Diceros bicornis minor: one gene and its partners. The protein of the gene in region 2 interacts with the protein of the main gene of each other region in a pairwise test. Links are inferred from orthologs where the notes say so. Each region holds a gene or a part of one and is shown on either strand. Other genes may lie near its edges.

The links.
Region 1: the proteins of SPRED1 (region 2) and NCALD interact in binary tests that used the Homo sapiens proteins (3 or more experiments, as listed by UniProt). The link is inferred for Diceros bicornis minor from reciprocal best matches to the Homo sapiens genes SPRED1 and NCALD.
Region 3: the proteins of SPRED1 (region 2) and HPCAL4 interact in binary tests that used the Homo sapiens proteins (3 or more experiments, as listed by UniProt). The link is inferred for Diceros bicornis minor from reciprocal best matches to the Homo sapiens genes SPRED1 and HPCAL4.
Region 4: the proteins of SPRED1 (region 2) and CREB5 interact in binary tests that used the Homo sapiens proteins (3 or more experiments, as listed by UniProt). The link is inferred for Diceros bicornis minor from reciprocal best matches to the Homo sapiens genes SPRED1 and CREB5.

What each region holds. Positions count from the first base shown.
Region 1 is NC_080760.1:20,465,349-20,473,166, forward strand, and holds the start of NCALD (neurocalcin-delta), read right to left. Parts: upstream 3,012-7,818; 5' UTR 2,973-3,011; intron 1-2,972. UniProt on the Homo sapiens protein: May be involved in the calcium-dependent regulation of rhodopsin phosphorylation. Binds three calcium ions.
Region 2 is NC_080744.1:36,357,346-36,364,824, forward strand, and holds the start of SPRED1 (sprouty-related, EVH1 domain-containing protein 1), read left to right. Parts: upstream 1-4,461; 5' UTR 4,462-5,503; coding exon 5,504-5,535; intron 5,536-7,479. UniProt on the Homo sapiens protein: Tyrosine kinase substrate that inhibits growth-factor-mediated activation of MAP kinase. Negatively regulates hematopoiesis of bone marrow.
Region 3 is NC_080752.1:53,347,391-53,353,903, forward strand, and holds HPCAL4 (hippocalcin-like protein 4), read right to left. Parts: upstream 2,545-6,513; 5' UTR 2,537-2,544; coding exon 2,375-2,536; intron 2,222-2,374; coding exon 2,006-2,221; intron 708-2,005; coding exon 510-707; 3' UTR 501-509; downstream 1-500. UniProt on the Homo sapiens protein: May be involved in the calcium-dependent regulation of rhodopsin phosphorylation.
Region 4 is NC_080742.1:53,088,120-53,095,350, reverse strand, and holds the start of CREB5 (cyclic AMP-responsive element-binding protein 5), read right to left. Parts: upstream 3,006-7,231; 5' UTR 1,723-3,005; coding exon 1,720-1,722; intron 1-1,719. Other genes in the region: uncharacterized protein LOC131399887, read right to left, coding at 4,084-4,764, 5,243-5,296, 5,466-5,688. UniProt on the Homo sapiens protein: Binds to the cAMP response element and activates transcription.

The DNA of each region.
Region 1 (7,818 bases), on a different chromosome or scaffold from region 2:
TTCTTTGTGTTTTGATTTGTTTTACTTACAACCCTTCAAAAATGTAAAAAGCATTTTTGATCTCTCAGCTGTACAAACCCCCTGCCCTAGAGCCTTGATATCAGACTCTGAGGCTGTCCTGGAGAAGCTGGCACCATTTTATCTACCTCTGCAGGGCTCCTGGGAGCCTCAGTCAGAAGTACACCCACAGAATACACTGAGCTGTGTGAAAAGTAACAGAGGAGCTTTGATGACGGGAGAGTTCCTATCTCATCGTACCAATCCCAGGGCAAGCTGAAATCCACACTCCAATCCAAGGAAGAGCTACAGAGCCCAGGCATGTGGCGACCTTCACCTCTGCCTCCAGAACCAAATTCACTGCACGACCCCTTATAGATTTGGACCTTCATGCCCCACAGTCAAATCTGAGATGTCCAACCTTTTTATGAGGGAAGTGAGGAAAGAGGTCAGACCACTGCCTTTCTCCACTGTTAGTCTAACCCCCTACAATTAAAAAAAAATCTCTGAAATGGTTCCAAGATAGTATGCCACATTTCTTTTGAGCAACCTTTGGTTTCTTACATTTCCCCAAGTTTGTTATTGTAGAATAGTCTATATAAAGATTGGTTTGGTCCTCCTCTCTATTATTCTCCATGTTGGTTTCTGACTTTAGTGAAAAGGACTGAACTTTGCTTGACTGATGTTCATTAATTCATTCAACAAACAATTACTGGTAATCACAATTCATCCCTCAAGGCACGTGCAGCAGGGAAGACTGATATGGAGATGACGATGCGGAGTGATGACAGAGTGTGCAGGGTGATGTACCAGCATGAAGCAAGGGCAGCTCAGTCAGCTCGGGAGGAGGGGGTGCCACGAGGTCTGCCGGCAGGCAGTGCTGCTGCAGCTGAGCGGGGAAGAAGGCATAGGAGCTGACCAGACAAGGAAGGGTGGGAAGATGACAGGTGCTGAGATTCGGTGGCTTGAGCGGAGGCTACACAGGCGGACGCTTGGGAGATGAGGCTGGCGAGGAGACAAGGGTCCGAACTCTATCCTGAAAGCCACAGGAAACCTCTGAGGGAAATTAGGCAGAAAGCCTGGCTTAGATTTTTGGTTGCAAAATGAGCGTTCTAGTTGTAGCTTGGAGAACAGACTGGAGCAAGAGTGTCCTAATGGGGACCAAAGAGCCCAGTGTGAGGCAATTGGAGCAATTCAGGCAAGAAGTGATGAGGTTGTGAACCAAATCAGCGACAGACAACAGGGGCTGAGAGAAGGAAGCACACAACAGCAACAGCAGAATAACAAGAGCTCACACGTCTGCAGCACTTACCAACGACAAAGCACTGTGGGAAGCGCTTTCTGTGTATTAATTCACTTAACCTTCGCAACAAGCCTGAGATAGGTTTGGTACCTATTATCAATCTCGTGCCACAGATCAGGAAACACAGAGAGGTTAAGTAAGGAGCCCAGGGTCTGGGAGCTATTCGTGTCCCGGCCAGAACTCAAATCCAGCAGTCTGGCGGCAGAGCCCTGCTCTCACAGCCCACTCTCCTGGCACGCTTATAGAGGGTGGGTATTCAGGACTGGGCCGAGTGGTTGAAATGGGGGAACACCAGGGCAACGTCCAGGGGTCTTGGCTTGGGTACGGGAACATTTGGGTTTCAGCTTCTTGAGCCTCCTCCTCTGAAGGAAGCCCCATCCCCAAGTCTGTACTTAGCCCCCAACCAGCCCCCCCCATAAACCCACACTCTCACCATCACACCCCTACCCCTTTCTCCTTTGCAGTCCTTGCATCCTGCATTTGACCCTAAAACACAGGCATCTCCCCATTGGAGTGAAAAACCTCACAAGCATTGCCAATTAGGTCTGAGAAACACCGACCGCTAAGGCTGCTTTTGGTAACACAGCTGCTTAGATCTGTTATTTTCAAATCAGTCAGAACTGGGAAAACTTTGAGCAAGCTTGGGTGGTTTCCTCCTCAGCAAATGAGACCTTGGCAACCCTCCTTCTGTGTTCCCACCCTTGTCGCCCTACGGAACAGAACGTGTACCATCATTTGGGGCCAGCGTTGAACAACAGAAGCGCACTCCGCTTGGCCTGCAGCCTCAGACAGACCCGCGGGAAGAAAATGGCCCTGGCCAGGAGACCTTCAGAGAGCCAAATGGCTTTCTTTCTTCGGACATGAAAGTTAAAGCAAGCATCTGCAGCAAGAAACTTGTGTATTTCCTGCAGACAGGGAGACCTCCTGCCCCTCCCGGGTTGATACAACCCACTTTGCACATCCTGCTTCTCTGGGAGCTAAAAATAAATCGGTATGCACTGAAAAACACTCAGACACATCTCCCCAGCACACCCCTTCCCGAGTCCCCCAGGGCAAGAGATACAAATCTTTCAGGTCCTGAGTCCAGAATGCAGCCCACTTCCTCCTCTGCGTTCTACTAGCGCCTTCCAGTCGCTCCCAAAGCCCCCTGCCCAGGCGCCCACCCCTCGCACACTCCTCCTGCAGCCCCTCAGGGCAGACTTGGCAGGCCCGGGAACCAGCGAGTGCCCTCGACCCCAATCCCCCACCTCACCCCTCACCCCTGGGAGGGATGCTACAGAGGTCCCGGGCCACCAGGCACACGAACGCCCCCTTCCGACCCAGCGCGCCCCCATCCTGTCTGCCCCGCGCGCCTCTGCGCGTCCCTCTACAAAGTTGCTCTCTCCTTTTCTGCCGCCCACTCTCAGGGTCTTTGGTTTTGTTTTCTTTTCCCTCAGAGGCATTGAGGGAAGGACAGGGGAATTGACAGGGTGAGCTGCACCCGGGAGCGGCTGCAAGGACGAGGTCCCCAGAACCGCGCGCTCCTCGCGCCCACCCCTGCGCCCGCCGCCCCGGGGCGCGCCGGTCCCCCCAGCAGCCGCTCCCGGCACCACCGCCCCCAGCACGCCCGCCCGGCTGCAACTCCGACTCCGCTCTGGCTCCGGAGAAACGGAGGGAAGGCGCTGCGACTCACCGCCTCGGCCGCTCCCGGCGTCTGTGTCGCCGCGGGTGAGGCGGCGGCAGCGGCGGCAGCAGCGCCTTCCCTCCGCCCGCCTCCCCCTGGACAGCACCGCCGCCTGCCGCGCCCCCCTCCCCAGCCTCGCTCGCCGCCTCTCCCCTCCGGCCGCCGACCCTCCTCCCCACTGCGGCCCCGCAGGCAGCCTCTCCCCGGTGGGCTGGACGGCCGGGGTGCAGGGGGGCAAGCTGAGGTGGGGGGGTTGCAGGTGCAGTGGATGCTTTGGGTGCAGCCCCCAGGCTTATCCCCATTGGGCCCCCTAATCCTAGCCCACCGCCCAGACTTCTAGCCAGTCTGCACTGGTACTTTCCAAGGGGTGCTGTTTTCCTCTCCGGTCGTGGGGAGGTCAGATTCAGCCTACAGCACCTTCTTCTAGGCTTCGATTAGGGGGAGCCTGGGGTCCCTACCATGCCGAAGTGAAGTTCCAGAGAGCCTTGGAAAGACATACCCACGAGGTGGGAGGGGGCTGCTCTTGCCTAACCCAGCGTTTTCTCTACCTAGAGCCTTCTGTGAATCGTCTAGGGATGGCTTAACAAAAAACTCTGTAGGAGGACATCTGAGGAGGGGACACACACACACCCTCTGCCTCCACTACAGAATGTCACCAAATTCTCCATCTCAGCTGGAGATGATGAGAAGCAAATGTCTTGTCAATTCATTCAACCAATATTTATCGAGTGGCTGCCAGCACGTGTTCCTGTCTTGCTGTGTTGGCCACTCAAGACCTTTCAAAAAGCCACTGTAACTTCTTGTGCTTGTCAAGCCCAGCGGCATTTCCAGAAACCACAGAATGTCTCAATAGCAACTCAAATTCATTGATTAAAAAACTTGCTGGTTAAAAATAATAAAAAGTCACCAAGTAAAGCTAAAAGGCACCATGACCTGTCCATGCTTGATATAGTGATTACAAAATCTTTTACTATGACTAGTTATAGAAATGACAGTTACAATTAGGTCCAAACAGCCATCGACTCTAATTTGAAAATCAAGTAAAAGGTTCACCTGACCGAAACTATCCTCTTAGTTCTGCCTTCAATTTCCACATCAATTACTCCTTCGGGCAAAGCATGAAAAACAAACGTTATGTGGAAGGCCATGAAACCATTTTTGGATACTAAAACTTTCTCTTGAATTGGATTAGTAGATTAGAGCAGTGGTTAGCCTCCCTGGATACAGTTTGGAATCACCTCGGGAATTGGGGTTTCGTTTTGTTTTTTAATACTAGGCCTATCCCCCCGCCTTTCCCCAAGATTCTGATTCAACTAGTCAGGGGTGCAGCCTTGCATGGGGATTTTGTACATTGGCCCAGGAGATCCTGACGTGCAGCCAGGGTTGAAAACCCAGGGATTGGTCAATCATCAAACAGGTCCAGAGGCAATGGGATGCTGAACAAGGAAGTTCTGATGCAGGGAAAGGTCTGAGCAGGTGTTGCAAACTCAAATGTCCCTAAGGGATTAAAAAGAAGTGACTAAAGCTGGGCAAACTGGGAAGGGCATCATGCCCTAAAAAGGGCAGTCTCATTTTTCCACATGGGAAATGAAGGTCCAGTGAGGCCATCAAGTGGGATTTTTTTCATTTTGTTTTGATTTTGTTTGTTTTTCCCCTAGAGAAGCCAAAAACCCACATTTAATGTGAACTCTTCTAATTTTAAAATGTTAGTAACTAATTTAAAAATATTTTAAATACTCTATAGGCTAAGAAAGAAGAGTTTGTAGGCCACAAGGGATCCCTAGCTTATCAGTTTGTAAACTGTGGTCAGGACAGTTTAGGGTTGGTCATTGCCTACAGACTCTGCAGGAAGAACCATGGGTGGAGGGCAGTAACAGGAAGGTGGCGGTGCTTGGGGTAGGGGTGTCTCTGTGAGAGAGTGATTTAAAAACCCACTTTATCTATTTTTTAATTTTGCTTTAATGATCGCTGCTTTTCAAAAAAAGCTTTATTGAGATATAATTCATATAGTATACAATTCACCCATTTTAAAGTACATATACAATTTAATGTTTTTAGTATATTCAGAGTTGTACAACTATCACCACAGTCAATTTTACAACTGATTTCACCCCAAAAAGAAATGTCATACCTATTAGCATTCATTCCTTTCCTTCTCCCAACCTCTAGCCCCTAGCAACCACTAATCTACATTCTATCTGTATAGATTTGCCTATTCTGGGCATTTCATGTAAATGAAGTCTTCATACAATCTGAAGTCTTTTGTGACTGGTTTCTTTCACTTAGCGTAATGTTTTCAAGGCTCATCCGTGTCATCAGCACTTCATTCCTTTTCATGAACAAACAACATCCCATGGTATGGATATATCATATTTTGTTTGTCCATTTATCAGTTGATGGACATTTTGGTTGTTTCCACTTTGGGGCTCTTATGAATTGTGCTGCTATGAACATTCGCGTATAGGTTTTTGTGTGGATGTATGTTTTTATTTCTCTTGGATGTATATCTAGGAGTGCAATTGCTGGGTCACATGGTAACTCTGCTTAACATTTTGAGGAAATGCCTGACTGTTTTCCAAAGCAGCTGCACCCTTTTACTTCTCACCAGCAGTGTATGGGGGTTACAATTTGTCCACATCCTTGCCAACACTTGTTATTTGCTATTTTTTAAGTTATATCATCCTAGTGGAGGTGAAGTGGTATTTCATTGTGGTTTTGATTTGCCTTTTCCTAATGGCTAATGATGTTGATCATCTTTTCATGTGCTTATCTCCTTTGGAGAAATGTCTCCTCAGATCTTTTACCCATTTTATAACTGGATTGTCTTTTTATTATTCAGGTGTAAGAGATCTTTATATATTCTAGATGTAAGTCCCTTATCAGATATATAATTTGCCAATATTTCCTCCCATTCTATGGGCTGTCTTTTCATTTTCTTGGTGGTGTCCTTCGAAGCCCATCTAATCTTAACCAAAAGCCCACGAGAAGGTACTACTATTAGCCCACCACTAAATGAGAATTTTGAAAAGGTTAACAACTTGCCTAAGGCTACACAGCTCTGACGATGCTGGATTGGAGTCCAGAATATGTTCATTAGGCACAATAATGGCCCCTCAAAGATAGCCACGTCCTAATCCCCAGGACCTATGAATATGTTACCCTACATGTCAAAGGGGAATTAAGGAAACAGATGGAATTAAGATTGCTGATCCATTGGCCTTAAATAGGGAGATTATCCTAAATTATCCTGGTGGGCCAACTCAATCACAAGGGTCCTTAAAAGTAGAAGGTGGGCAGAAGAAGAGGCAGAAGGAGATATGAGCTACAGAAAACAGTCAGAGAGAGATGCAGCATTGCTGGTCTGAAGATGGAGGAAGGGATCCCAGGGTCAAGAGACGTGGGTGGCTTCTAGCAGCGGGAAAAGGCAAGGAAACAGATTCTCCCCTAGAGCCTCCAGAGAGGAAAACAGCAGAGCCAACACCTTGATTTCAGCTCCTTGAGACCCATCCCAGACTTCTGAACTCCAGAACTGTAGGATAACAAATTTGTGTTGTCTTAAGCCACCACATTTGTGGTAATTTGTTACAGCACCCAGAGGAAACTAATACATAGGGCCAGGTTTTTCTCATTTGAGAGTGCAGGGCCCCATCTCCAGAACTCTCCTCCTGAGTTTTAACTTAGAAGAACATAAGCCAATATTTTTGCATGTATAGCTTGGACTATTTCGCCCTGAATTCCTTACCTTATTCTTATCCACTGTGAAAGGCAACACCAGCCTTCCAACCCTCATGCATCTCCCAGAGACCCTCCTTGTACTTTCTCCCTATGCCCTTGGCATTTCTCAGCTCATCTTCGATTCATCTGAAAACTAGAAGGATTTATTGTATACTGATTTTCTCCTAGAACATTACCCAAAATGTCCATAAGCACAGAGCCATGATCAGAGGGGAGTAATATTTTCATCATCATCATGTCTACTTCTACCAGCCAGGCTACCACTACTGCACCCATCACACCCGGTCCTGCAACTTTTGTAGAACGTGGAGGAAAGCTCAAGTAACCAGTAGCCTTGATAGGAGGCAGAGGTTTGCTGCATTCAGTTAGGCCTCAAAACATCCTTGGTTTGGGCCAAGGCAAGGCATTCTAAAGAAAGAAGAAAATAGCTTTCCTTCCTGCATGTTCAGGCAACTGCCTTGTCTGCAATTCCGTAAGAATGAGTGAAGAAAAAAAACTAGCTCAGGATAGAGGAGACCATGTTTGCTAGCCCCCTGTTGGCTACAGAGCTGCCAACACCACAAGAGCAAGTAAAGAGGAGGCTCTCTCCTGCCTGCTTACCCAGGCCCCAGCAGCTGATCATTTCTTCAGCTTTGTAGTTCATCTTGCAGCCTGTAACACATTCTCTAGGTCTCTTGTCAAGTGGCAACCAGAATGAAGTGCAGTTCGCTAGGAAGATCCTTCTAACAGGCAGGCAGCCGAAGGTGACAGGCACCAACCTTGAGGTCATTAGTGGTGTGCTGGAGTCATGAGAACTGATGGTTAAGTAGTCAGGAATTTTGTGAGCCATGGAAGTATTTACACAACAGAAATAGACAAATGCTACAAATGAGGATTTCTGCCCTCCGCACTCCTGCCCCCACAGCTGGCTTATCAGGATAGCACTGGGTCACACTAGCTGTATGTGTTTTAAGATATTGTGTCTATTTACTTGCTTTTGAAAGCCAGCACCACAAATGAGACTGCCATTCAGCTTACAGGCCAAGAAGACAGAAAAGAAAGGACAGTCAACCACCAAGAAAAATATAGCTTTCAAGCCTAAGTACTGGCTCTTCAACAATTCCTTAAATCCCCAAGACAG
Region 2 (7,479 bases):
TAGTAATTCCCTGAGAGGCAGAGCTCATTAGCCAAGAGACTGGTTACACTAAAAAAAAAAAAAAAAAAAAAAAAAGAAAGCTCATTCATTAAACAAAGTACAGCATGAAAATAGAGTCCCCTTTGATCTAGGCACATATTAACTACAGTTTCAAAATACAAAATTGTAATAACATCTGCTAAGGGGTAATGATAAGAGTAAGTCTAGAAATGGAAATGTGTACATGTATTTTACATACTGTTAGAACCTCAAATGTTGGCATGGCTGTCTCCTCTTTGGGCTTTTCAAGTATATAGATATCTGCTGAGAGCATAATAGTACAAGGGATGGTGTATGTGAAATGCTGAACTGCAGTAGTTTTCCAGTTGCAATAGGAAGCCAGAGGGGCCTCCAAACTTCCATCACAGTGTCAGTCCATCCAGCTTCATTTTTATACATACACAAGGCCTTAGCAAACATTTCACTTAAAAGTGTTTAAAACCACTGTGACGAGAACACCAAAAAATGAAACGCAGCCTCTGCCTTCACGCCACTTAAAATTTAACTGGGAAAATAAACATAAACTCATAAAAAGTGGATTAGCAAAAAAAAAAAAAAAGAGAGAGAGAGAGAGAATTATCAATATAAGCATAAAACAATAAAGGCAAAAAGAATTTGAGAAGACAAATTCTGAGTTCCTAAGAAAGACAGTCACAACAGACTGAGTGGTCTGGAAAGAGGGAGAAAGCCTTGAATTGGAGCGCTACATGCCATCTGCCAGTGCCTCCACGAGGACAGGCCACCTTTGCTGTCCTGGTGAACCCTGATCTGACACCTACCTGGAACCCAGAACCCACTGGTACCATCTTAACTTTGACGATGTCCTATATTGGCTATTACTTGGCGGTTGTGCTGTTGGCCCAGGGATGCTTTCGATAATTAATCATTTACAACAGGTTGTTAAGTGGCTGTGGCTCATTCCTAAAGCTGAGGACAATAGTACTGAGAGCCACTTGCGAGCACCAGCTATGGTGACCAGCCTCCTTCTCACAGACCTACCTGAGGAAACGCAACCGAGCAAATACAAGTGTCTCCTGCCCTCCTGACCCCTGACATGGCCACGGAATCCTTCTCAACTACTGCTCATTGGTAGCTATACCAATTGAATGGAGTTGAAACTTAAAGTAAAACTGTGAACTATATGTACCTTCTCACATAGCTTTTCAAGTCTTATTGGATCCACCTTCCCTAGCTGAACCAGCCCTCTGGCCTTGACCAGTATCTACCTTAGCCTATGATATACCTTGGGCCACCCTTTTCCATGTTCTTCTGGAGCAGAGGTTTCAGTTAGGGATGTGTTTGGGGATGGGATGACACAAGCGGTTGCAAGGAAAGGAGGAGAAGGCTATGAAGGCCTAGAAGGACTCAGTACCTGGCATACTTCTGGAAAAGTAGGTTTGTCAGCACAATACAGATCTGCTGATCACAATCTCTGGACTGGGGCCTAGGAATCTGCATTAAAGGGGTACTTGCCGTGTACTTAAAAAAACCTTTTTATTATGGAAAATTTCAAATAGATACAATAGTAAAGAGAATGTGCTTATCACCAATCCACAACCAATCTTGTTTCATCTATATCCCTACCCACATCCCCCCACTCCTCACTCCACTGGATTATTTTGAAGAAAATATTTCAGTATGTATTTCTGAAAGATAAGGACTTTAAAAAACACAACTACAACACCAATACTTAAAAAAAATTCCTTATTATCATCAACATCTAATTAGTTTTTGTTTCCCCAATTATCTCAAATTTTAAAATATTTGTTCAAATCAGGATCCAAATAAGATCTCACACATTGCATTAGGCTGCTATGTCTCTTGTACCTCTTAAGGTCCAAACACTGGAATAGACCAGGGGAGGCCTCTTGTGTTTAGGGCAGTTGCTGATAGAAAGTCAGACTAGAAGCCCCCTGGGCTCTGATTCTCATCGTAGGACCATTTCTGATGTTTTCAGAGTAGAAGACTCAGTGCTCAGGCCAGACCAAGACAGTTTTTTACAAACTTGGTAAGATCTTCAACAACTGGATGAGATGAGAGAGCTACAGATGCACCTTAAGAAGGGCACACAGGTGTCCTGAGAACGGCATGGGGAATGGTTTGGTGACTGTGTCCGGGTCATGGGATTGGGAACAATCTAAAAAGCATTAATTCGGGGTATTGATCATATCTTGCCCCTTTAGGTAAGCAATGTGTGCGAAAGTGACCAGCACAGTGTCTTCCACATGACAGCCAAGGTGGTTTTCATCTTTTCTCCCAAAGCCTGTAACGGGTCATTTCCCTGATGCATGTGAATCTCAAACTGATGCAAATATTTTCAAAAGAAAAGGAGGCCTTTGCAAGTGACCCAACTTTCCTTGTCCTTACTTAATCATAATGACTCTAAGAATGACCATTTGTTAATGACTTACTGAGGGCTGGGCCATGTGTCTAGCACGAGTGGTACACGGGAGAAAACCACTAGTTATTTGTTGACTGAATGAACAAGGCTACTGAATGCTTTACATTTAAACCTTCAGAGCAACTGCCACCACCCTGTCGCGGCGTTTCTGACTATCTCCATTTTACAAAATCATCGTAAGAGCTAGGACTTATTGAGCTCTTAATCTGTTCTAAGTGCTTCATGTATATTATTACCTCATTAACCAGCACATCAGCTTTATGAATTAGGTACTATTATCCCCATTTTACAAAGGCACAGAGTTTAAGTAATTTGTCTAGAACACACAAATTATGACTGACGGGACTTGACTGAAATCTGAGCAGCCAGAGTGATTAGCAGTAGTAATGGAAGGAGAGCAGGCCAGTACCAACACTCCCAGTTATAGGTTCTTCACAGGAACAAGACCAAAAATGCAGGTTCAGAGGTAACAGAGGTAACCTCTGTCTATTGCAGATCCCCTCACCTCTTCCTGTCACCAACTTTGCCCCTTCTTCCCTTTGGGTATGGACAATGCTGCTGGCAAGACACGAAGCAAGAGTTAAATCAAGAAACCTCAGAAATCAACGGGATGGTTTTTGGGGCAGACTGACTGGTTTAGCTCCTTTATTTATTCATCAAACATTTATTAAGCACCTCCTTTGTGCAAAACACTGTTAACGTGCTAGTGTATGCGCTCCCGAGAACAATCCTGAAACTTCCAGGAGACGGACGGCAGAAGGGGAGTGCTGGCTTGTTTGAGAGGTTCTCGCACTTTCTTCTTCCTCAGGAAATGTTCTATCCCTCAAGGTGGCAGGAGCAGCAATCTTCATTCTCAGGACGCACAAACCTGAGAATGAAGAGAAAAGCATTGCGCACAGAGCTAGACTGATACCTAGGGAGATGCGTCAGAAACTTGGGATTCAGTCCCCCAGGCCCGATCATGTATAGGCTGGCTTTCTAGGTAGAGAAAAGATAATAGAATTTACAGAGCCAGGAGCTGAGTCCTCCGGTCGGGCAGACCCCAGACTCCGGCCCGCAACCCCAGCAGGTTTCTGTGCAAAAACCTTTTGAGATGAATGCATACGTTGTCCTCTAACAATGCAAACGTGACAGCTGCCTATTCAGTAATCGTTCCGCCTCCGTTTAGAGCAGTTCGTGCCACAGAGGCATCTTCTGCGCTATAGTTATGCAACCTCACTCGCAGCGGGAGTTATTTCCTGTGCTTCTGGCTGCGCCAGATTCATGTAACACGCCTACCCCGGGCTTCAATGGAAGTCGTTCTCCATTAACAACCACTCTAGCTTTCAGAGATGAATGCCCTGCACCGCATACCCCTGGTGCAGTAAGAATCCAAGGTATTAAAACTCTGTCTCTCTCTAACACACACACACACACATACACACCCCAACACGCACTCCCGCTGTGCCTGCAGCTGGGGGACTGCAGCAATGCAACCAGAGGGACAGCAGGCGGAGCTCTCTTTGTACAGTCCCTCCCTCTAACCCCCACCAACTAAAGATGAACTCATGCCAGTTCCATTCTTTGCTCTGCAAGGAAAACACACATACACACAGACACACGCGCGCGCGCGCGCGGCAGAACAGTGTAGCCTCCAATTTTCTCCTTGAGCACACTGTCATTCTAGCCTCTTCGTCCAAACAACCCGGATATTCTAAAACGAGTAACGGGGAGTAACGCGCCGCAACAATGCAAGCTCCCAAGCAGCTCCCCGTGCAGCTCACACCCCCGCCCCCTTTCGCAGCGTGCCAAGAGTTTGGAGCGCGCGCACGCACACCGAGCACGGTGCTGGCGTATCCCTCCGCCTCCCTCCTCCTCTCCCCGCTCGGTGGCTCGACAACGATTTGGGAAATGAAGGGAGGAGGGAACTACTTTCCTGAAACTTGCTATGCTGCACACGACTTCGAGTTGCAGTGATTCGCCCGGAGGCCGCAGCTTTTAGTTCTCCTACCCACGCGCCCTCACAGCGCGGGCACCCCGCTCAGCAACCCCACCCCGTGCCCGCTCTGGCCCCGGGGGAAGCCGGCGTCCGGGAGAAGTTGCCAGGGACTACTTCGCCGCCTTCTCCCGCGGGCGCCCCCGGTTCGGGCAGCGGCGGCGGCGGCGGAAGGAGCGGGCGGCGTGAGCGCTTCCGCCGCCCCCCTCGCGGCTCCCCTCTGGCGGGCGTGAGGAGCTGGCCCGCCGAGCTCCGTGCTGGTGGGCACGGCTGGAGGGGTCCTGCGGCCGCTCTGCCCGCTCTCCCGCCGCTTCTCGGCACCCTGCGCCGCGGGCGCGCCCGCTCTCCTCCGGCCCGGGTGGGGGCGGTCGGCTCGCCTGCCCCTGCCTCCCGCTCCCCGCCGCCCCCTCCTCCCTGCTCTGGACTCGTCCGGGCTGGAGCGTGTCTGGAGGAATCCGCCGCCGTGAGGCCCCTCGCCGGTTCGGCTCGTTCCTGAGGACCGCCCCGGTCGCCGCCGGGGGCTGAGCGGGCAGCCGGCGGCGAGGCGGGAGATGGTGGGGTGGGCTCCGGCAGGACCGCGCCGCCGCCGCCCGGAGCCTGGGCTCGGCACCCCCCCGCCGGCCCCCACCGAGCGGAGCTCTGCTTCCTCCTCGCCGCATCCCTGAGGGAAGCGCCGCCTCTGCTCCCGGGTTCTCCGCCCGCCCGCCCGCTCCTTCCTGGCCGGACCCCGCCGCGCTCCACCCCAGTGGCCGGAGGAGCCGCTCTCCAGTCAGCCTCGCAGCCCCCCGGCCTTTTTTGCTTTCCACCCACCCTCCTCGCCTCCTCGGATCCCTTGGCTGGGCGCTGAGGCGGGGGAAAAGGCTGGGGTCGCCACGGCGGAGGTTGTTGCCGCCACCCCCCTGCGGGGGTGGCCGGGGTTCCCGGCTGGGGGGGCACCGTTCCGGGTGAGGCATCCACCATGGTGAGGCCCCTGAGCCGCTGCCCCCGCGCCCCCCCGGCCGCCACTGCCTCCTGCCCCCCGGTGCTGCTGCTGCTCCTCCGTCTGCTGTTGCTCCTCCATCTCCAGATCGGATCACGGTGAGGGAAAGATGAGCGAGGAGACGGCGACTTCTGACAACGAGTAAGCGCCTCATTGATCCTGATTGCTAGCCCCCCGCCCCGCTTCTTTCCTCAGCACTCCCCCAGACCCCTGGAGACTTGGGTGCCGGAAAGCTTGCAGCCCTGGAGAGTTCGGTGCATCTTGTTGTGAAGATAACATTTCATTTCTTGAGCCATTTTATTTAATGGCAGCAAACCCACCCCCCACCCCCCGCGTTTAATTGCTTTCTTCTGGGGGAGGGCGTTGAGTGTTGGGGTGGCATGGCAATTGTCTGTCCAGGAGATGGAGCAGTGTGGATGGATGGAGGCGGGGTGGAAATTACCCCTTTGCCTGGAAGACCCCTGGCCTGTCCTTTTTCTCCTTAGCATACCAATCAACATATCCTGAATATCCGTCCTGCTTCCTTTATAGCTATTTCACTTGGAAACTAATGTGTGGGAGCACCTTCTGCAGCAAACTGCTCTTGAATCTTAATTCGATGAGTCAGTGACTCTTAAATACCGATTAAGCCTCCACCCCTTCCCCCCTTTTTTATACTTAGGACCTGTAAGATTCTTGTAAAAAATGGGGCTAGGGAAACATTTTTAGAATTTAATGGCATTGAAGACACCTGGAGTGTGGGAGATGGCGAACTATTATATTTTACCTTCGCGAATACTGGACGTGTCTCTATCAGGAGCATAGAAGAATTTTGAATGCTAATGTTTATCCTTCAGCTATATTGAAACACACCATTTACGTTGGTATAACAGTATTTACATTGCTGAACAAGTTGATGACTTCATTCATTAACTTCTAGAGCATCCCGGTTTAAGCTTTTGTTTATTTGGGCTGTCCTTATGTTTTTCAAACGAAATACTTTGCCTTTTAAATGTTTTGCTTTAACGTAACAGCTGCTTGGGGGAATAATGATGCGGTAACAGTTTTCTATTGAGATGGGATTTAATTCCGTGCAGAATATTAGCATCCTTTTTCTTGTAATTAAGTTCAAGTTTTGTTTATCTTGGTAGGGTTGGAAAGAGTTAAGTGAGTTAGGACTAGTCCTAGGATGCATTCCTTTAAATAAAGTGCATTCCTCAAGTCTGGCCGTTTAGAGAAAACTTGAAAATCCAAAGCCTAGGCCTATTTAACATAAAATAGCTTGAGAAATGCCAAGTAGCGTTTCTCTTGCCCGCCCCCCACGCCCCCCAACACACTCTTCTCATGAGCGGGTGTGGGAGAAGGTAGATTGCTGCAGTGTCAGTGCAGTCTAGAAGCAGAAGTGGCCGCCATGTTCTCTCTCTTTTTGTGAATCGCCCTCATTTGCATAGCACACTCTTCATTCATAAAAAAATAATTAAACATCCATCACCTTGGACATCTTGAAAGAATTTCCCAAGAAAAAAATTCGAAGCTTGACTCTGTCTTCATGTAGATTTTTGAGTTCAGGAAGTAAGGAGAATTCGAAGTTGTAGGTTAAATTCAAAAACATACGCACACACAAACAACTACCCCTGTTCTCAGAATGTTGACACAGTTATGTGGGAAATATCAGTTCGGGGAGGTGCTGGGATCACGTGATTGCCTCCATTCATAAAATACCTGGCTGTCCATTCACAGTGCAGTACACTGTCTCATTGCCTTCCGCAGATTAGACCTACTTTGAGAGAGATCAAGAAGTATCTCAGATAACGCTGAGTTAGGAGAAAAACTGCTAAAAATCCTGAACGGAATGACGATAGTTTTTCCTGGTATCTTTAAAGAAAGTAGCCTGGATCAAAATGTCAAGTTCTGTTGTAGAGATGGGAAAAGATTCGTTACCATATTTAAAGTAAAATATTGAATACCTCCTTTTTGGATGCAGCTAATAGAAAAGCAAATGAGGGAATGTGAATTGACAGGTGTAAAATATATTGTTTCTAAATGGGGTCTTTTTGTAGTACTTGGCATGGACAAATTGAGAGTGCAAGTTTTTGGTGTAGTGAT
Region 3 (6,513 bases), on a different chromosome or scaffold from region 2:
CTGAAGAAAGGACTGAATAAATGCTCCAAAGGCTGGGGCCAGAGGGGCCAGGTAGAGTCAAGGGAGCAGGGCAGAGACCACCTTTAAGGGATCTGGGTCCTCAGCAAAGAACAGACCCAATTTGGCCCTTTAACTGAGGTCTATAGGACCAATCCTATAAAGCATAACCCCAGGAAGAACAGAATTTCAAAGCAGAACCTCAGCCCCCCTCCTAAACCCTGCCTCTTGGGGCAAAAGCCAACTCCCCTATGCCCAGTGGGTCTTGGTTCTGGGCCAAGACTGGGGATGGGGCTAGACAACAGGATACCTGAGGATCTGTCTCTTTTCCAGGGTGAGGTGGTCCCTCAAGGACCTTGATTGAGGGGAGCAAGGGCTTGGGCAGAGGGTTGGGTGAGCCAGAGAGTGAGGCTGGAGTACCCCTCCCCCTGGGGAAGGGCCAGCTAGAGAGGTCATCAGGTTGGGAGGTGGCCACACCCCTCCTGGCCAGAGGCCCTGCCCCTCACCAGCCTCTACTTCTGCATGTCACACTGCAGCAGCAGCACAATGGATGGGTCACTCTTGGCCGCCTCCTTGAACTCCTCCAGCGTAATCTGGTCATCCTTATCCTGGTCCATTTTCTTGAAGATCTTGTCCACACGCTGCTGGGGTGTGAGCCCATCCTGGTTCATGCGCATCATGATCACGGTGCCCACCATCTTGTATATAGCCTGGTGGGGCAAGGAGGGAGGTGTGAACACTCACAGGGGGCAGGGAGGATCAGGGGTGAATGAAAGGGCCTGGGGGGGTGGGCAGGGAGAACACTGGGAGATGGTGAGGATACCGGAAGGTGATGTATGGTCATTAAGACTGGATATTTAATGAGCATCTCACATTAAACATATCTAAAACCCAACTCTTCACTTCCAACCTGCTCCTCCTCCAGCATTCCCTGTCTCAGTAAATAGCAAATTCATTCTTCTAGTTGTTCAGACCAAAAACCCTGATGCCATTCTTGACTCTCCTTCTCTCACATCACATCCAATCCTTCAGCAGATCTTGTCAGCCCTAATTTTGCAATAGGTCCCAACCACTTCCGACCACTTCCACAGCTCCTCCACGGTTGTCACCTCCATCGGCCCCTGACTGGACTGCTGTGGACCAGTCTCCTAACTGGTCTCCCTGCTTCTGCTGCCCTCCTAGCCCCTTGGTCTATTCTCCACACAGAGAATAGAGAGAGCCCTTAGTGGCTTCCCATCTCACTCAGAATAAAGTCCAAGTCTCAGACTATGAGATGCTAAATGACTGGGCTCCTGGCTACTTAGCTGATCACCTTCCTACCACTATCCCCTTCTCACTTCTCTCCTACCACCCTGGCCTTCTGGCTACTCCTTGAACACTGCAAACACAATGTAACCTCAGGGTCTTCACATTTATTGTTCCCTGTGCATAGAACACTCTTCCGCCAGACATCTACGTGGTTAGCTCCCTCACCTTACTCAGGGTGCTGCTCACATTTCACCTTATATAAAATCACTTTTCGTCCATCGCTTTCTCTCCCCTTACTTTGCTTATCTTCTTCATGATGCTTACTGCCTGACATATCATAGTTTTTTTGTTGTTGTTTTTAAATTTTCTCACTAGAAGAAATGTCCCATGAAAGCAGGAACTTTGAACAGTGCCTGGCATGTGGCAGGCACTCAGTACACATTTGCTGGAAGAGTAATGAGTTGAGAACTTAGGCTCTGGAGTCAGACTCCCTGGATTTGAATCACGAATCACCACTTGCTCTGTTTCCTCCTCTGTAAAATGGGGTTTCTGACAGTACCTACCTCCCATAGGGTTATTGGGTAAAGCATTTAGCACAAAGCCTGTTTCACACTGAGCGCCCAACCAATCCTAGGAGGCGGGATGGGGGGAGAAGTGGGGTGCAAGAGGAGGCTCCTGAGGAGCGTGCTGGAGAGTGGGCAGCGAAGACAAGGGCGCCGGCCCCAGCCCAACCTGGCCTCTTGGATCCGCCCCAGCGCACCTCGATGATCTCCAGCATCTCGAGGCGCGTGATGCGCCCGTCGCCGTCCAGGTCGTACATCTCAAAGGCCCAGTTGAGTTTCTGCTCGAAGCTGCCGCGGGAGGTGACCGAAAGGGCGCAGATGAACTCCCGGAAGTCGATGGTGCCATCGCCGTTCTTGTCGAAGGTGCGGAAAGCGTGCTGCGCAAACTTGGAGGCATCGCCGTAAGGGAAGAACTGAGGCGGGGACGGCAGGGTTGGGACGCAGCGGTAGCGGTGTCTTCCCGGCCCTCCCCCGCTAGTCCGGCCCGCCCCCTCGAGTTGCCTGGCCCCGCCCCCGCCCGTCCGGCCCGCCCCTGGGCTTGCCTGGCCCCGCCCCCGCCCGCCCACCTTGATGTAGAGCTGCTGGAACTCCTCCAGGTTGAGGATGCCGCTGGGGCAGTCCTTCAGGAAGCCCTTGTACCACTGCTTCAGCTCCTGTTCACTGAACTCCGTGTTCTGAACCAGGTCCTCCAGCACCTCTGGGGCCAGCTTGCTGTTGGTCTTCCCCATGGCGGGGCCTGGGGGACAGGGGGTTCCCTCAACTTGGTCTGGGGCAAGGCCCTCACCTCAGCAGCAGTCGCCCAAGTCCCTGAGGACAGAGTTCCCTTTCTCCACAACAGCTCCCTCCCATAACAAACCCCACATTCCCACAGCTGGGATCCCTCCTTCCACAGTAGGGTGGGTCCCCTTCCTCTCACCACCACACCCAAGGACATGTACCTTCCTACAGCTGGGCTCCATCCTCCCCAATACCCCTTCCCACAGGAGCTCCTACCTCCCCTCCCGGCCCCTCTCCCCTACACCTAAGTGGGGATCCCTTCCCCTGGTTACACTCCCCCATAACGGGGCCTGCTCTCTCCACAGCAGGGTCCCTTCCCCTCACAGCACCCTGCACCCACAGCAGGCCCCTTCCCTCCCCTCACAGCAGGCTTCCTCTCCTGGCACCTAGGATCTCTAGCCTTCCAGGTCTCAGCTCTCCTCCTCCTCAGTGGTCGGGGCTGCATGCTACAATCTTTATCCTCTCCTGTCCTGTTTACACCTTCCATAGCTCCCCTTGGCCACAGAATAGAGTCCTAATCTTTTCCTTACTCTTCAGAGCTTTCACACTCAGCCCCCACCCACCTCTGCAGGCTCCTCTCCTACCTGGGACCCAAGGCGGGTCCTCATTGTGGCCCCCTGGCAACGGGGACACATCTCCCAAGTTCTTCCTCAAGGCGTTCCAGGCCACCCCAGCAGGAAGGTTCTCTCCCTCCTTCCTCTGTACAAATAGAAATCCTAGCTGGTAGCATTGATGACTGATTACACTCTGCTTTTCGTTAGTTCATTCCCTGAGCATTTATTGAGGCTGACTGTGTGCTAGGCCATGTACCACTGATGGGGACAGAAGCTCCTAGGGTTTTAAAGCAAGGGGTAGGAAGATAGCGTTCATTCCACAAACACTTACAGAATGCTTACCGTATGTCAGGTCATGAACTAGGTACTGGGGACCCAGAGAGAAGGAATGCGTTTTAAAATTTTTCCTTTGGCTACTGTGTGCAAGATGACCTAGTGAGGGGAGGTAGGGAGAGCAGAGAGGGGCCTGCTGCATAGTTCAGGTGAGAGGTGATGACGCTAGCGTAGGGGTTGTGGAGAGATGGGGATGGACTGAGAGATGTTAGGAGGGGGCATTGGCAGGACTTGGTGACTGACTGGATGTGGGGATGAGAGGACAGAGGAGTTGAGGCAGACGCTAAGATTTGGGGCTGAATGGATGGAGGTGGTGTTGCTGAGAAGTAGGTTTGGGGAGGACGAAGGGTCAGTCCCCAGCTGGAACATGAGCCCCTCAAGTGGCCTGTGCCAGGGGAAGTGTTTGCAGAGGGAGGTGCTGGTCTTCCACAGGAAGCCTGGCTGGGATGATGCCCCATCAAGCGCTGAAGCCTGGGTGGACGCTCCTGTCTGACTTCCATGGGAGGAATGTCCCTCCAGAGCCTGAGTTTCCCAGGACATGGCCTGGGAGGTGACTCTGACCTGCCTAGAGTCTCTTTGGGAGGGGGCCAGACTCCAACCCCAGGGTAGCCTGTCATGAAGATACTCTGGAAAAGGAAGTCCTCAGGCTAGCAGAAAGAATTCCACTTCCACAGCCCACCCCAGGCCAGTGTGGCTTCTAATCCTTACTTCTGGGGGTGCCCTAAACAACCAGATGGGAGATTGGTCTGTTCCATGCCCCCTCTCTTGCTGTGTGACCTCAAGCTAGTTACAGGATATCTCTGGGCCTGAGATTTCTCTGCTTCTTCCCTAAGGAAAATCAAGGAGAAGTAGGGGTGGCAATATCCTCTTCTACCTACCACCGCCAGAGGATGAGGAATACCACCCCCAGAGGATGAGGAATCCTATATGCCCCCAGGAGAAGCCCAGGAAGGGAAGGCATGCCATCTTTAGGGACCTGGAACTGTGGGGTCCAGAATAGTTGCACTAGAGTCAGAGTCCAGGATGCCTCTAGAATACCCATGGACAGAAGGAGGCAGGCTCCATCTCCAGCTGCCCCTCCCCAAGTCCAAAGGACACTGAAGGCTCAGGGTATAGTCAAGAAAGCTAGAGAACCCATAGGTGGAGGTGTCTGACGGGGGAGGCAAAGTCTCTTCCGCTGTCTCCTGTGGGATGTGCCTGAGTGTCTGTGTAAGGAGCTGAGTGTGTGTGGGAGGAACCTGTCAATGTATGAGACTGCAGATCTGTCAGCGTGCACAGCCTGTGTGTGTGTGTCACGGTATCTGTGTGGCTCTCACCTTCTGCCCCTTTTCTCCTCCCTGCTCGGTGCTGCCTTCCCACAATTCCCTCTTTCCTGGGGCCATACCTCTTCCCAGCCCCATTTGGTCCCAGGCCCACCAAGGACTATGCCTCCCCCTTCATTTCTCCTCATTCCCTCTACTGTTCTTAGATTGGCAAGGCAAAGCTGGCAGTGTGCTTTAATATCATCTCCTTATTTCAGTGAAAACTGGAACCCAGAGAGAGGAGAAAACTGGCTCTGAGTTACACAGCAGGCCAGTGGAAGATCTAGATGAGCACCAGGCTGAATCCATGCCACCTGCCTGGACCACTCTCTCCAAATCATGGCTACTCTTGTCGAGTATAGACCTTCCCCACTCCCACCTGCCTTCCGGGAAAACCACGGCTCTGATCTCCCTCTTGGCTTTAGTGGGACTATCTTGCTTGAGCTCTAGGCCATAGTGTCTGACACCCAGGAAATAGCCACCCTTCTGTGCGACCCACCAGCACCTCTGACGCAGCACATCTACAACCAGATTCCCCCTCAACCTGTGGTGGTCCTTCTCTCTCCATCCCCCCTTCCTTCCCTCCCTCGTCCCAGGGGGAAAATGTGATCTTGGTTACCTTCAGTTTTCCCCTCTCCCTAGGTCCAACTTGCCACCAAGTCCCATTGTTCCTTCTTTTGAAGTGCTCCTGGAACCTTCAGTATGTCCTCTCTCTCCCCATAGTCAGAGCCAGGGGCAGAGCCGAGGTGGCTGAAATCCAGCTGGGACACTACTTGCCAAGCCATGCCTGTGGGGCTCAACGGCCTCACAGGGCTAGCCTTTCTTCTGTTTCCTCAGTTCCCAGGGAATGTCTTGCCTGGTTTTGCCCAGACATACAATAGAGGTTAGAGGTGGCCATGCCCATGGGCCCCCTCAAACTTCAGAATCCTCTAGAATCTGGTGTCACGGTGTCCACCTGTCTAGCCTTACCTCTCACTGCTCCCCTCACAACTACATACTCCTTCCAAGCTGGGCTTCTCACAGCCAGGACCTACCTCACCTATTTGCTTAGCTGTTTTCTCCACCCCTAATATCCTTTCTTCTCTCCTGGGCTGACGCAGCTCTAATCAGCCTTTGGGCCTAGCTGAAGCCATTTCCTTATGATCAGCCTCTCCCAGCCTGGACAGTGGACAGGCAGCAGCATGGGCTCAGCATTTTGCTCAGCACGAGTAGACCCTGTGAGGCCGTGGAGTTGAGCCCCACAAATGTGTAGTCCAGAGCTCTGTGATTCTCGCTTGGTGCTCTAGAGTTCCAGAATGGGGACTTTTGTGGGAGGTGCCTTTGCATTAAACCCTTGCCTGAGCCAGAAAAAGTTCTCCAGGCCTCTTTGCTCAATGGCAAAGAACTTATCCCCGCCCCCAATATGACCCAGTCTGCATCGGAGCAGCTCAGACAGTGAGAAAAGCGCTTTTCCTATTGTTCCTAAGTTTGCCCTCTTGTAGCTCCCCTACACGGGTTCCCACTCTGCCCTTTGTGGCTGCACAGACCTGCCCTGCAGAGACCTAACGGCCTTGCCTGGAACACAGTGATGTTCAATGAATGTCCCTTGGTGGATTACATGAGACAGGCAGAACCTCCTTCTTCCTCCTTGGAATAGCATCAGGCTGTTTTGTTTATCTGTGTTCTGCCATTGCACCCACTTCAGACAACGGAACCCAGACTTGGGGAAAGGAAGGGTTCACCCAAGATCAACTAGAGCCC
Region 4 (7,231 bases), on a different chromosome or scaffold from region 2:
CATGATGTCATTTTTAAAGTGCCAGAGTTTCTATTTAAAGCAATGCCACAAAATAGATAGCTTATTTAGTTTACAAATAGCAACACAAAAAGGTTCTTCAAGTCTGCTTAGCATACCCGAAAGTGCTTCTTTCTCACACTTAAATATTTAAGACTATTTCCCCCCTCCCCTTAGTTTATTATCTTATCTCAGTTGTATAATTTTCTTAAGTAGGATTCAGAGAAATAGTCCTAGATTTAAATTTTTAAACACTAATTTATAAAAGCATTGGTTGATTCCCATAATACAGCTGGTAGTCAAACTGGACAAGATAATGAATTGACTGAGATCATTGTTCCATCTTCATCCAAGAAATCTGCCTCTAAAAAAAGATCTTAAATTGCTGTAGAAATCCAATTTGTAAGAAGCAAAAGAAGCATATAGATGGGAAACACCAGCCATGATCACATTAATTTTGTGACTAACAGCATTGCTTTGAAGTGAAGAAGAAGAAGAAAAAAGAAACGATGACAAAAATAATAAGTCCACACACATCCTCAATTTTAATCTAACAACACAAACGGAAGAAAACCAACCACAAATACAAAGTTCACATCTTTGGGATCCAGCAAACATCACACTCCCACAAAATAATTTTCAGCTTAATAAGCAGCAAACTCCAATGCGAAGGAAATACAATAGGATGGTGATGCATTGTCACTAAAAAGCAAATTATGGTAAGAAATCAGGAGACCAGGAACTTGATATTAGCACAAAGAGTCATGGAAAGTCCATGATTGATTCGTTTTGAATCTACAGGTGTGGGAAACTGACAAATAGTTGTAACAAAAATCTTCAACTTACTATATTTGAAAAGCTATACAGGAAAAGTCTGACAAGCTACCATTCCTTTAGCCACCTATTCAAATAAAAGCTGCAACATTACAGAGATAGAAATAAAGGCATTGTTTCCACATTTTTGTGGGAATGTTCTAATAAACCATCTGCTCATGTATAAACTATATAAGGTCACAACTGACTTCCAATTGACAGGCAATTTAAGATATCAGCAATTTACATTAAAAACAGTTGGCTTGAATTGAGCAAATATGTTTAAGTAAAGTTGAAAAATAAAAATTGCTATGAATCAGTCGGGATTTAAAAATAATGGATCTATATAAAACGCTACAAGCAAAGGAAAATGAAAAAATTTATAGGGAGGCACAAGTAAGTTCATCCATTGTTTTCTTTCTAAGTTTTAAAACTCAAGTAATAGCTGATATTGATTCAATAACATCCTTCCTCGGGGGAATACACATCTAGGTTTGGAAGTGGAGAATGGGGTTTTTTTGTTTGATTTTTAATTTTTAGGTTTCTTTTTAAGAATGCCTTCCTTACTAAAACTTAAGTACTTATTGAAGTGATTCATGAAAGCTCGTAGAAAAAGGAATTCTTACCTGACACATTATTTAACATGCTTCGTAGCTCCCCCACTGCCGTTCACATGCTCATGAACCTTATTTTACCAGGGAAATAATGGTCTTATTCACACACACACACAGACAACCTTCCACACAAAATGCTACCAAATCCCAGGAAACTGACAAAAGCAACATTAAGATTCAGTGCAAAATAAGAATTCCATTTCCAAATCGCATCTATGAAAATACAAGATTGGTCTCATTTAACCAGTTGTAAAGTTCCCTTTCTGCTTAATAAGAGTAGTAAACATCATCTTACCATTATCTGTAGAAAAAAATCAGCAACGTGTTGCTTCCTGCAGTCACCAAATCAAGTTTTTTCTTCCTTTCTTTCTAGTAACTCCTTTTTCACCAGCAAGATGAGGAAGAAAATAAATCTTTGAGTATTTGCCTCAGGATTTCAGACCACAAGCTTATGAAACTAGCTCTTAGTAAAAAAAAGAACAGATCTGGTATTTTACAATCACTTCTGCAACCCAAAGGTACCTCTTAGACTCCTGTCCCTCCTTTCCTCCCTCGCTCCCTAAGTTTCTTTTAGTAATGAGACTAATTTTTCCAGTAGCCTTGAACACCCTAGATTTAACTGACATGGAAAATGTGACTAAAAACTTGTAGAACCGTCTAGCCTCCAACCCTACACAGAATCAACTTTGTTGTAAGTGTTGAAGAACACCTCGCAAGCAGCTACTTGCTCCGTCAGACTCCTGCACCACACAGCACAGCACACCAAATAACAGTGCGCCATCTAGTTAGCAAGTTGCACTCTCCATTCTAGAAGGGGGGACACCTTCAAACCCTGGGAGTTAAGAACTTGTCAGGGTTCAGCTGCTCTAAAGGTCCAATTGTTTATTTAAATAAAAAAAAAATATCGCTACTGAGATAATCCACATCTAGTGGATATGGGAAAATTTAGGTTATAATGGCACTACAAACTTTTACATCTAACTTTGATTTACAAGATAAAAGCAAGTTTTAAATTAAAAGGGCTTTCTCTTAATAGAGCTTATTATTCTGAAGACGGGAATGATTTTCTTCGAAAGTTGTCCCTGGGTGCATGCCTATTATCTTTGCTTTTCCCCTTCCACTAATGAGCATTTATCTAAAGAGCCTGTTAATCCTCTGATGTGTGCTTCTGGTCAGAGGTAACAGTTTGAATAAAACCACTAATCACTGATCACTAAATCACTGATCATTAATCACACTCTCCAGTGCCGGGGACCCGGGCCATTTTTTCCTCTAGGTCTGTGCATCACAAACAAGATGTTTCACATTTTAGATGCACATGGATTGTGTGGGGTTATAGTATTTCACCTCTAGATGTTAGTAAATAGTAAATACTGCCACAAACTTGGGGAAGGAGGTCAATTAGACCCCAGGCAGGAGTTTCACAAATGCCTACTCTACAGCACAGCTTTCATTTTGAAGAAAGTAGATCTGATTATAACAAGACATGTGTTCATCAAGAAATTCCCACATACTCAGAACATAAATTTTCCTTTATTTAGCTTTCACTAACTCCAAATCAGAAAGCACCCAAATCTTCTGACCCCCCTCCATCCAAAACCCTGTTAGTAAATTTTTTATTTGATTTCTGCTGCACACTCACCCCCACTACTAAGATTTCTTTTTATTTTTATCCCTTAAATATGTTACACAGTGTTGTTATTTCAACTGCCAGATACGCAGATTCTGACTCAATTCAGTGACTTATGTATTTAACATCCTCTTTAAATACAGAAACTTAAGGTTAAGAGAAAGAAAGTAACACACGCACCAATTTATTGTATGGTACTTTGAGTTCAAACACTCACATTCCCTCACTTTGGAAATGAAACGTTTAATCTTGATCCTTTCAGCTAAATTTGATTTAGTCAGCATCCTCCCTTCGTCTTCCCTCCTCGGCTAAACGGTTGGAGGAAGGCGCTCTATAGAATTAAGCACTTTGTTTGCAGTGGGTGTGTCGTTTTCCTAAGTCACCACAGGGACACAGTATCATCATAACGTCTCTAAACATTTCCTAAGATGCCTTTTCTATCAGGGCTGAGCATTTTCGCCCTAGAGAAGAGGGCTTGCTGGTGCCTTCCTTAAATAATAGAACAGGGCAGATTGTGTGTGCGCTGATCAGGTACTGTGCTCCCCTCAGACGCCAGAAGCTCTTACCCACACTCCAGGGACAGTGATCGCCCCAGGGAAAGCAGTAAAAGGGGAAGGCGGGGCCAGAGTGATAACGGTGCGGGCGGGAGAGGGAGTGGAGAAGGAGGGGTCCGGGAGGAGAGGGCAATAAAGATGCCCAGGGAACAGGCAATTGTACGAGTATGTTGGGGGCTGGGGATGGAAAGCAGAGTTGCTTTGTCAGCATTTCTAAGCCCCCGAACCCTTGAGTATCTGAAGCTGTTAATCAAACACTTACTGGCCTGCAGAATGACGTAATGGACCTGTATCCAGCCTTTATTCCTTGACACATGTCAGAGAGGGAGGGAAAAATAAAAATCAAGCACACTCTGCGGACTCCGACAACGAAACATACAAGCACCCACTCCAGTGCCTGGCCTTGAACAAGCATCAAGTGAGTGCAGTACCCGTTCAAGAAAAGTTGGGGAGGAGGTGGGCAAGGTCTGGGGCTTTATCTACCAGATACACCCCCCTTCCCGCCCCCGGAAATAAATCTATGGCAAAGAAGAAGCGGGATGCAGATGCCGAGAAAAAACATCTCCTTGGTTCCTTCGCACGTCTTGCCGCTCTGAGAACTTCGCGAAAAGTTTAAGCGGTTCCGTGGAGAACCTGCCAGAGAGGAAGGCTCCAGCCGCCGGCTCCTGGAAACTGCCACCGCGCCGCCGCGGCAAAAGCGAGAGCTGTCATTTGAGGCAGCGGCGGGGAAGAGGTAATGATGCCAGCGAGAACCGGACGGAGGCAGGAGGCGGCTGGAGGAGTGAACGCGAGTAGAGCCTCGCCACTTTCGAGCCTTCCGCGCCTGGAGCGAAAGCCAAGTGCCGTTCAAGGGCGACGTCCCCTTCCCGGGCGCGCGCGCCCACCAGCTGCGGCGGGCAGCCCTGCGGGAGAGGTGGCAGCAGCAGGCTCGACACCCGGCAGGGAGCGAGCCCCCCGCGCGCCCGCTCGCCCGCCCCCTAGGTGACCCGGCGTCTTCGCCGCGCCGGCTGCAAGTTTGCGAACTTTCTCCGGGGTTCCGCCGCATCACCGGGAAGTTGGGGACGCGAGGGGAGGTTCTTGGCTCGCCGTCTGCGCTGCCGCCGCCACTGCCGCCGCTTGACCGCACTTCTGGAGGGTTCCGCACCTTGCCAGGTCTCTGGAGGCAAACACACCCCCCCGATTCATAACTGTTCCCCGTGTCAGGGAAACACACGCGCGCTCCCACACACGCACGGACGCCGGGGCGGACACGGCGCTCGCTCCACGTTAGCATCCTTCCAGTCGCACGGCGCGGCGGCCACCGAGACGCGCTCCGGGACAGACACGGCGTGGGGTCTCTGGGGTGGCCTCAGGACACAGCAGAATTCCACAGTCCACCAGCATTGGGGGCCGGACTTCCCTCTGGTCCGCCAAGTGTTTACAAACACAGATCACCCTCCAAAAAAAAATGTATCGCATCTTCCCTACTCCTTGCCCTGTGACCTGCCCACTGGACCAAGTAACCTCGCGACTGCTGCCGACAACCAACCCCTGCAAACAAGTACGCTCCCGAGATGGCTCCCGCGGCAAGTGCAACAAAAGTGGCTAAATGCAAAAGCCCCAGAAGTGGCCGAGCCGTATTTTTAGGAACTTACCAAACAAGTGTGGAGAAGGCAACAGCGGAGCCCGGGTGAAGGGACCACGTTGGACTGAGCAAAGATTACAATACATTCTATTTAGAGTGCATTACATCACCCCCCCGGTGACGTCACGTGGGATTCCTGAACTTCTAAATCATTGCGGTCCGCGGGGGAGGGAAGGAGGGAGGGGCGGGGCCGGCGCGCCGAGGGGGCGGGCCCCGCCCCGGCCCCGCCCCACAAGCGGACCCCGGTGCACCGCCGGCGAGCGGCGGCGGCGGCTGGGATCGCGCAAGCAACAGCTTGCAGAGCCCAGCGCCGTGTGACACGGCTCCCTGACATTAGTGGTGTGAGTCAGCTTGGAAACAATCCTCATGGTTTCAGACAGGACCACAGAGGAGGCACGGACACGGGCTTTCCTGTGAACAGGGCCTGGCAGCGTGTGAAAGGTGTGGGGATGAGTGCTAGGGAAGAGGTGGGGAGGGGGATGCTGAAGGGTGCGGGAAGACACTTTCTGCAAACAAATGCAGGACGCTCCCCCCTTCCCCCACCAGCAGATGTCCAGCTCCTTTTTGCCTGCGACAGCCGTGACCTCATTACAGTGTTCCCTGCATCCTGGCTTCTCAGAGCACTCACTCGACACCCCTTTTCACCGGCCCCCACCCCAAAGGCATAACTTCACCTCCAAAGGCATGACTTCTTTACTGTGCACACTCACATGGAATACACGGCCCCCACCCTTTCCAAGACCCCTGCTCCGTGCGTCTGAGAAGCTGGAGGGAGAGTTGCTCCTGGAGGCGCAAGGTGAATCACAGCTAGAGCCAAGTGGTGAGCCGGATTTAGAGTCCGCGTCAGAGCCGGAAGGGCCCTTGGCGATCACTTCCAGAGCCTAGTCTGTAACTCGCCCAAGCTCACAGGCTGGCAAGTGGCAGAGCCAGAGCCAGAATTCAGGATCCGGGCGCCTGGTCTGCAGTATCTTCCTGACAGCTCCGTGAGAGAAGGAACCTGGCTTTTTCAGCATCTTGGCCAGCCACCATCACCATCCCCAGCTTAAGCTAATTTCCATTCAGATGTTCTCCCTATGAGTAGGATTCAAAGGGAAGGCATGGGCTAAATTCCAGCCGAACCTAGACGAGCACTGTCATCCTTGCAGCAGCTCACACTTTACAAAGCACTCGCACCCATGCGAACTCCCTTAATTCTCACAACCCAGCACAACAAGGAGAAGTAGGGCGCAAGTTATAATGATCCCCATTTTACAGGTGAGCTAAGGCAGACTCCAGAATGTTAGGGGGCTGGCCTGAAGTCACTGGAGCAAGTGGTGGCACTGGCACCACCCCAACCCCTGTTTTCAAATCCCAAATCCCAACTGGGCCGCTTTCTAGAACCAAGGGTGAGCATTCCCTTCTCATGGGTTATTGGTGGTTAGAACCTCTGCTAAGGACATGTTGGCTGGGAGTTGGAGCTTTGCTTAGGAACAGTTTAGCCCCCATTGACAAACAATAATCATTGCTGACATTTATGTAACATCTGACATTTATATAGCACCTCTCCTCCCAATGCATCATAACCATGACTGTGCAGTTTGCCAGAGAAGCATGACTGGACTGGCTAGAAACTGTAATGCTTCTGGACTGTCACATACTTCTGAGCTGGTTTTGACATACTAAATGGAAGAGCTTTGTATTTCCTTTCTGTTTTTAGGTGTTTAAACAACTCCCTTTCCTTAAGTCTTCCTTGAGACCACAGGGGCTGACAACTGTTCATTTCTCACAGCCTTATTCAGAACTTATCACTGAGTTTTCTATTTGTTCTTTTCCACATGTAGCCCTGAAGGAACTGCAAAAGAAGGGCTCCAGTCCTAACTTGAATCTTACCCAATAAAACTTTAAATATGACAGGTCAATTACCTAGGTTTATGGAAGGAAGCAACGGGCCTCCTTGCCCACATTCCCACTCGAGGACCAGGGCAGCCTTTCCCACCTAAAGCAGGTGTCTACCTCCTTC